Schizosaccharomyces pombe: one gene and its partner. The gene in region 1 interacts genetically with each later gene. Each region holds a gene or a part of one and is shown in the gene's direction. Other genes may lie near its edges.

Region 1 (4,592 bases):
GCTCATGAATGCAACAATGAACGTTGATTACTCTTGCTTCTCTTCATGTTTACCTTAGTGATAGCAAACTGATGAATAGTTGGCGAAACTATGTTTAAGCTCTCATCAGCTTAGCATTAATAATTCTTTTACGTTAAATGTATGATTTCTCAATTTAATGTCATTTTTGATTTCATTAGGAAAAAATAGATGACATTTACTACTGGTGAAATTATTTATTTTTCAATTCTTTTTATTATTTTGCATTTTTGCAATGTAAAAATATTATAATATTACACAAAAGGATATAACTATGAAGCTACACAAAGCATTTTATGTTCATCGCTTCTACGGCGCAGGTAATCAGACGAATTTTAAAAGTGTAATTGGTGATTTAAAAAGTTTATGTTATGAAAAGAAAGTTAAGTACAATAAGAAAGCATTAAGCATGTGGATGTAATTATTGGATGTGTTAGTTTACTCTCTGCATAAGTGCTCGGTGGTTTTATAAACTAGTGAGAAGAATGATTTCCGAGTACTACTTGAAGTTAAGAAAATAATTAATACAATCTCTTTTGAAACTAACCAGTCCATAATAGTATTCAAAGAATCTGGAAAGTACAGAATTTTTGGGAGCCTGACACTGATGCGTTATAGTAAACACGGTAATGTAAATTTGTTAAATATTTAGTTTAACGTAATGGATTGAGGGTTACCATAAATAGAATTCATAAGAAAAAATGGAGGAAGGGTGTCTTTATGATGTCCGCTAGCATTAAAGAGCATTTTTTTATTCAAGGATCGTATTCATATAACTGGAAGGCTATGTTAAGCATTTTTTTAATGCCTTTGTATGATTATTGTTACCTGATTTATGTTTACGTTATCTATGCGTGGTGTCACTAATTTGCAGTATATGTTCATGTGAGACGCACATTCGATAATTTACCATTAACGTGCAAGTTACATTTATTGAAAGTAGGTAATTTGCATTCTAATGGGTGGTCTCGTTGTTTTACTTGTCGGCCTTTTGACGGCCTTAATGAGTGTAGTTTCTTACTATGTCTCGCCCAAGGGAAATAATACTAGGTAAGAAGTTTGCTACTGATTGGAGTGAATCATCTATATATCGAGGTATAGCAATTATGTTCCCATTTAAAGTCTTGTGTTATGATCAGTAGCTTGTTTTTACTTCGTTTCATTTTCGTTTAGAGATATGGAAAAGTATATGTGATTGTCTTTCTTGCAACCAATCAAGGTAGCGCTGTTTAGGCCTTGTCTTCAGCTGCACATGGACAATCTGGAATTGGGATCAGTTGCTTGTATTATATTTTCATACTCCTTCCTTTAACAAAAGTTTTATTAACTCTCAATTAGTACTTGGCAGATGTCATTAATTCTTACTTTTTCTTGTTGCTATTTATTATGGTTAGTGCATTTGTGGTGTTCTTATGCATCCATATTGTTTTTCTTTTTTACTAACATCGTTCTTAGGGCAATTACTTATTTAGCACAGTTGCATCCATTAGAGGCTCCATCTCGAGTTCTTGAGTAATGAAGTTTAGTATAATCATAGTGATTTTTAATGTTTGTACATTCTTCCTCTTTTATTTTACTTATCGTTTAGACTGCAAGCTTTCCAATTAGAATCTACTTTTGAACCTTTTCCTCTTCCTATTTTTTGATACTATTCGTTTCTGATCGTCGGGCTCAACTTTCTAGTCTCTAAAATCCTATTGGTGTTTGTCGATTATTATTACAAATCAAACACGTTTGAGTATTTCTTATTTTTATAATCCATATCTTTAAACGTTTCTTATTTTAATATATATATGGAGTCAGTTAAGTCATGGCTGGAACCTGGCGTTATTTAAAGGTCGGTTCACGTGGATTTCAACATTGCATTTAATCTTTGCGAAAGGATATACCTTCATTATTTCTTTTCTTTGATTTTACTAGATTTATTGGTCTCCCCGTCTTTTGGTTGTCGCTTTTTCTTTTACTCGGATGTGTGTATGAAAGGCGACGTATATTTACGTTATCAAAAGCCTTGCTACAAATATACTGAATCATATAGAAATACAATAAAAAATTGAAATAATAGACACAACAGGATATTCAAAAGTTTTTTTGGTGCCAAAAACTCTAAGATGTTGTAAGTTTAGTTTAATATTTGGACTGAAGTTCATGATAGTAGTGGCGCTCCTAATACGCAATTTTAGTTGACTAAAAAAAATATTTGAGATAGAGAAAGTCTGAATTGTTATTAAAGGTCTACTGGCTTCATAAACACAAGTTCGCGACTATTCAACATTGTTCCACTATAGCACATAGACATTTGCACACACTGATAGTTAAGAAATACATTTTACAGTGTGATTTTGAACGGATTGGTTTCTTGAAAAGATAGGAAGACTGAAAAAATAAAGATTCGTATATAAAAAAAGCGAAAAACTTACACTAGTGATGTTGAATGCGATATAATTTTCTGTTATGAAGAAAAAAGGGTTGAACTTACCAAATTTACGCATTTACTAGATTTTTCGTGTATTATACCTTTTTAAAATGAAACAAGAATATATTCCGCTAGACGAATTCCCAAACAAGTCTAATGAAGGGATGCTGAATGATGAAGGTACCTCTTCTTCTGGCTTATCGACAAGAACGCGTAGCTTAGAGCTTTTTGACAATATGGAAGAAAGTGGCTCCTTTCCAAAAGTGGAAAGGAAAATACAATCGCTTTTGGATGAGCTGGCTGAAGTGTTGTTTCAATCTAAACAGCCCAACGACTTGACCAGGATTCGAAAAGCCATCGCTGAGCAGTTGCAGTTATGGTGTCAAGCTTGTCAAGAAAACGCTGATTTATATAGGAGCCAGCAAAGGAAATTGAAGAGCCGTTGGGACTCGCAGACAGACATTTTATCCCAAATTGAATCGACCAAAGCAAGTCTGGCAGAGGTGCACAAAGCGGAAGAAATATCGAATCTAAAGACAAGCATTACACATTTAGATGAGGAAATTCAAATTTTGCAGGAAAAGTTGGCGATTGTAACGAACCAACGAAACACCCTTGTAAAACGACTCCAGACTTATGATAATCTAGAAAAGAAAAAGGCACTCAGTATGGAAGATCGCCTTTTAACTCTGCAGGAGCAGTATGATGCACATGCTAATGTATCTTCCCTTGAAAAACGGATGGAAGTATTGAAGAAAAGAGAAGATCTTTTGCGACTAATGGTCGGGCAAGCACTTCCAGGAATGCAATTCTTCCAACGTTTGATCCATCAAATCCAAGCTGTCGAAACAAAACTAATCTCAATACTGGGGCCTACTTCTTTATCAGAAGCTGCTTTGCCTCCATTAACTGACGTTCAGCGCACTAGTGTATTATCACTCTTGACCTCGACTCTTCACTCTTTGGAGTCGGCGAGACAGATTGCTGACTCCAATACATGGAAGCCAATCATTGTTTGTTTAGAGCTCGAAATTGTATATTTTGAGAATATGCTTACTGCGATAACCTCGACTCCCGTTTCTTCCTAATAATTTAATTTTCATTCCGTATACTATCAATACAACCTTCTAATATTAAAATATGGTCATTCAATGGCACAATGCATTCCTTGGCGTGTTGACCGACAGCCTTACTACTTTTACCCTGCACGGCTTCAAGATACCTGTTAATTGTGGAGAAATATATATTTCATACATGATTTTACCTCCAGATTTTCAGCCTCATCTAGCACCACATCGTTAAAATCGTATATAATATTTATTTCAGCTGTATTTTCGGCATGATATTTATTTAATAACACCAACTTTGATCATCTTTGATTTGTCTTCTCAAACTCTCTTCTACACAACAAATGACAAAATGTTAAAGTAATGCGAGTCGAGTTCATTAGTGATTCAATTCAAATATGCTATTGAATGCCTATTTCCATACTTAAACTGTCAATCTCCTACCCAAATCAAACACTGTCATAATAAACATCCCTGAATCTAAAGCTACCTTAATAATCTTTGTTTTGTCTTGTTCAACCATCAACCTACTACAAACGAAACAGTTTTCAAAAAGTAACACCATTTTAGTTTTCAAACAATTCTACGCTAATACCACGTACATTCACTTTCGGTTCACATAACCGATTCTGTCAAACATCCTCAGAATGTCGTTTTCCATTTCGAACCCATTCTTTCAGTTTTCCATTTCCATTCAATACGACACAGTCGTATGAAGATGGATTCTAGCTTATTTGCAAAATGTCACGGAACCAAGAAATCCGATTTTGAACAAACGACATTGCGGCTCCTTGTTCGTCGCAATCCTCCGTTTGAGTGAAATTCATCGAAATCACTTCTAAAGCTACGCTGTCTTATTTTTGCCGCACTCGGACTTTGACATCACTCTTAAAAATCATCGAGCAATAGAATTGTTGATCAAACGGCTTGCCACGCACTTTGTCTGCTGGTGGTATGAGACGCTAGTGAAGTTAACTATTACAGCAAACATCGTTCACCTACATATATATTGAATTGAAAGCCCGCGTTGCCGATGGGCAAAACGAATGAAACAAGAATCTTCCAATAGCGAAATTTAGACATCATATCGC
Region 2 (4,563 bases), on another chromosome or scaffold:
GAATGCGCGCTATTCAAATGGACTTTTGGACCTGGCTCCTTTCTTTGCACAAGCAAGATATATATGCTTTAACAGATGAAAAGATAGGTCATGGAAGGATTAAGAATTCAGTATTGTCGTTAAAATTCGAGTGCTCTTATGCTCAAACGATAGCGCTGCTGTTGTCTTTAATGTAGTTCAAATTGAATGCACAGTGTAGCAGTCAGAGAGGCTCGATGCTTTTTAAAAACAAAATTTTCTTTCTCGTTCCTTGAATCTTCTCAAATATCGATATATTAAAGGCTTAGGCAAAAAAGTAGTAATAAAGCCGTAAATAGTCGGTTTTGAGTGTGTGCCTCCAAACCAAATCCGAATACTGAGATATGTTTAAACTTCGTTATCACAGCTACTGAACTAGTCGATATACGTTAGATATCAGCTATGAAGATTAAATAATTTAATATTCTGTATATTGCAAAACGAAAGGCAAAAGACTAAGTCACCTTCCGAAAGTAAACAGCTTGCTACAGATAATCTTAAGTAGCTCATTTGAATTTAATCGACCAAGCTTCACGTTCCGCTTTTACTATCATATCCCTTTATACCTTTGTTAGAATCTAGCTCGCATCGTTCGATTATGATCAACTATTTTCTCGCATTAGTTAAGGATCGTTGGATACTTATTCATGACTTCTAGCTATTTAAAAACTTGCTAAGCAAGAGGAGCTAGTTGCCTATAGATAGTAATCAAGAAATTTCTTCATTACCAACTTGGAATCTCGATTACTGCTTCCATTTATTAGATCCGTCTGATAAATTACCCTTCTAAATAAATAACATTGCTATGTTTTACTTCATTTACTCGCCTGACATATTTGGCCTAAATATAATCGTAAACAGAATAAAGGCAAGCATGCTAAATCATAATACCCGATGACATTTCAATAAATATTCTTTTATAGAGGGTACATTGAAAATGATAATAATGAGAAAATTCAGCTTATGGTGGTGGTCAGACAATTTTCTTATAAAAAATGTGTTTTCGGCTTCCAAAAAATTGCCCTATCTCAAGAACTTTTTTTGTAGAAGGTTAATGTTGATAAATGGGTATACCCCTAAATCGTCGTCATTGACTCTCTTTCCTCTCCAAACATCACCGTCATATAGAAAAGCGAACAGAATTCTGTTTTCACTGATTTTTTAGATAAATAAGGTTTTAATGCTTTTCTTGTCGATATTGAGTTTTATTCTCCCTAGTCACTCTTCTTCAGAAACTAAATTTTGTTTTGTATAAGCTTATACGCTTCCTTGACTTTTTAGATAGTTATTCATGTATATTTAGTTGTTGCATTATTAATTAGCAACTTAATTTCCGATCTTTAGTTCGTTATCAATATCGCTTGACCCTTTTTTTTCCTGGAAAGGGAATTTCTGTTTCTATATTCAGCTATGGCACTTGAATTAACTGAGCACCAATTAAACAAGTTGCGCGACTTTCTGGATGAGATTTTATTAGACGTGTCTCAAAAATACCAAAAGAAGTACGTTTTTCAATTCGTTTTGCCTAGTCTTCTTCACTCTTTTTATTTGCTAACATTGGTATCGTTAGATTCCATCCCGGTGGCTATCAAAAATTAGAGGAATTAGCATTTGATTTGGAACCATACTTTCAGGTGGTATCTTCTATTCCTTTGGAAAAGCATACTTTTCTCGTAACCAATTTCACTCTACGAGGTATCGACTTTTTTGTCGACACTATTGTTGGATTTCCGGCCTCCCCAGAGACAACTTTTAAGGTATTTTCCCTACTGGATTCTCTTTGCTTAAGGCTCATACAATCGGGAAATCTTTCTACTACAGATACTATACGGTTAAAAAGTCTGATGGAGAATTGCCGTATGGTTGTTATTTCAAAATTGAGCGACGTTCAAGGATACGAAATGGATTGTGCCTCTATTTTTGAGAAGAGTTTGAACAGCATAGATTTTTAATGCATTTGTTCTCCCCGTCATTATTTCTCCGTTTACTGACTAATTTTCTATAACTTTTGGTAGCCATTTGTGACTTCGATGGTATTTTAAAACAATTGCAACGTCAAAAAAAAGAACCATCAACTCGGAAAGATTATAATATTTTTGTACCCGCTCTTCTTTTTAATCACATTCATCTTGCCGTAAATGTCTTTTCAGTCTTCCATTCTGCCCAAATCCAGAAAGTGAGCTTTGAGATTGAATAGCGAGTTAATGTATGTTCTCTTTGCTGTTCATCCTTTACGAAAACAATAATTATACTTGGCAAGAAATCGACTTCTACTGTTTATTTTTGGAGTTTTCATATTATTGTTACCTGCGACGGAAGATCTCGTTACCTGCGATTTACAGTATGCGATTCGATACGTCAGAAGGAAATTTCACCTCAACAACTAAAACGGGTTTTTTTTGTTTTGCAGCTTTTAGTTTCCTATCTCCTCTTTTCACTGTTTTATTTATTGTTTTGTATGAAAAACGTGTTTTGTATCCATTAAATCTAAGAACTTTCAAGAATTGAACGCTGGAGCATTCTGTACATAGGTAAAAGTTGGATGAACCAATTATCTAAATTAACTGCTTTTTTTCTTAAATCTTTTATTTGCATTTCCTAAGGAAACTGCATTTGCAGCTTTTATGAGTATATTTATTCCAAAGGCGCGTCGACCTACCTTTGAGCTTCACCTTAGGATCCACGATGTAGTTAATATTCCGTTAATTACGGGAGTCATTTTCGTGAAATGGAATATTGAAGGAATCCATTCTCGTCATGCCAATGACCAAACCGAGGCTGAACCTGTATTGGAGCATCGCGTCACATGGGAATACGAGACTTGTGTGTCCGTTCGTATGATAATCGACAACGATAACCTTTTAAAAGATAAATTTTTAATTTTACAAGTGCTTTGTGATTCTCATACAGATTCTGGTGTCATACGTCTAGGTATTCTAAAGATCAACTTGACCGAATATGTTTATGTCGGTCAAGACACTAGAAAATATTTGCTTGCTGACAGTAAAATCAATGCCACTATACGTATTGGAATAAGCCTTAAGCAAACATCCGGTAATAAGGACTTTAGAGTAAGCAAGACACTTGGGAAACCCCAAGTATTTAGCGGCCTTACGGGTCTTCTGACAGATGGTAAAGAGCTAAAACGGCGCGATGATGAAGTATACACATCGACTGGGCTTGCTTCAGCTTGGGCAGAGAAAATGCTTCATTCGATAAAGGACTTCAATCAAAAAACCACTGTGTTCCATATGCATACCCGAAATAACAAGTATGACACCAGAGAGATTGTAGACGACATTTTCTTTGGTGGAACAGGATGGGCCGAACCTCCCAAAATAGCTGATATTGTAGACGCCGCTGGCGATACAGATTTAATATCATTGGAAATTAGGCAAAAAAGTTGGGTACTTCCAAGTGAGAAAGTATTGAACAAAAGACTTCCCTAATGCTGTCCTTTGTTTTCTTTCGAACTTTTGTTTATATTTATATATGTATATATGCATACGATATTTTTTCGTTACCACATTTCTTGATAATAACGTTTGCCAAGTTGTTGTAATTATTCATCCGTGTAAAAAAGTTGATTTATACTAATATTTACCTTAGCCATCGTTGCAAAAATTGTAAGAGTAAGAAAATAATTTATTAATTCACTTTAAGGAATATATTTATTATTAACAAAATCAAATTAAATATCAGAATTGAATTATTGACAAAAGCTAGGATGTCCGTCTATACGATTCATTAAACTGTGTACTCTATCCAGCGGTAAATGAACATGTTCGGCTATACGAATTATTTTGTAAATTGTAAACCATACATTGGGGTCCGAGGTCTTACCCAATGGCCCATCTCGGGATACATCTTCGAACCTGCTAAGAATTGCATTTATACCATCAGTGGCCCAGTCCTTTAATTTTTCGTTTGGGTAGCTTGCATAGAAAAGTAAATCTTCGAGCTTTTGGTTGTCTGAATAATAAAGATTTTGCCTTTCTCTTTCAAACAAAGAACAGTTTCGCGATAAAGCATTATCCAATTGGACTGACGCTAATTCACAACCGTCTTCAAGTATCAATCTTTTATTGATGCAGTGTTGAAAATCGTGTTGTCCTCCAAATGTTGCCTTGGTACGTAGCTTCCATAAATTCCAAATTTCTGTTACACATTGTGCAGATGTCCCCAAAACCTGATAAGCATGATTTGCAGCCAGAGATCGGATTTCTTCATCATCGTCGTTAAGGAAGTCTCCCAGTAATAAGTAGAGAATATAAAATTCGAAAGAAAACGCTTCAGCTGTTGATTCTGCGTTGAACAAATCAAAATGTATTATGGAATCCAAAGCGGCCTTTCGAGAGCTAAATGGCTGATATTCATTGGAATAACTTAGTAGTATTTCTACCCATTTAGCAAAGGTTACCTTGTACTCAAGGAAGTTTTCGGTTTTTAGTTGTTTGATGCATGAACCCAATAATACTATAAAACTTTCTTTTATGGGTAGGCATTCATTTGAAAGGATGTTGGAAACCATATCTGAACATGAAA

What was found. Genes that interact genetically often act in the same process or in processes that back each other up.
Region 2: mutations in SPOM_SPBC1685.04 (region 1) and SPOM_SPCC1494.08C together harm fitness more than expected from each alone (negative genetic interaction), as found in Schizosaccharomyces pombe (one large-scale study listed by BioGRID).

Annotation. Positions count from the first base shown.
Region 1 is NC_003423.3:500,329-504,920, forward strand, and holds SPOM_SPBC1685.04 (uncharacterized protein), read left to right. Parts: upstream 1-2,335; 5' UTR 2,336-2,544; coding exon 2,545-3,522; 3' UTR 3,523-3,865; downstream 3,866-4,592. Other genes in the region: vma9 (V-type ATPase V0 subunit e), read left to right, coding at 977-1,068, 1,357-1,407, 1,474-1,534.
Region 2 is NC_003421.2:2,340,463-2,345,025, reverse strand, and holds SPOM_SPCC1494.08C (uncharacterized protein), read left to right. Parts: upstream 1-2,391; 5' UTR 2,392-2,642; coding exon 2,643-3,467; 3' UTR 3,468-3,622; downstream 3,623-4,563. Other genes in the region: transcription factor TFIIH complex subunit Tfb6, read left to right, coding at 1,429-1,520, 1,589-1,970; trm732 (tRNA methylation protein), read right to left, coding at 3,728-4,563.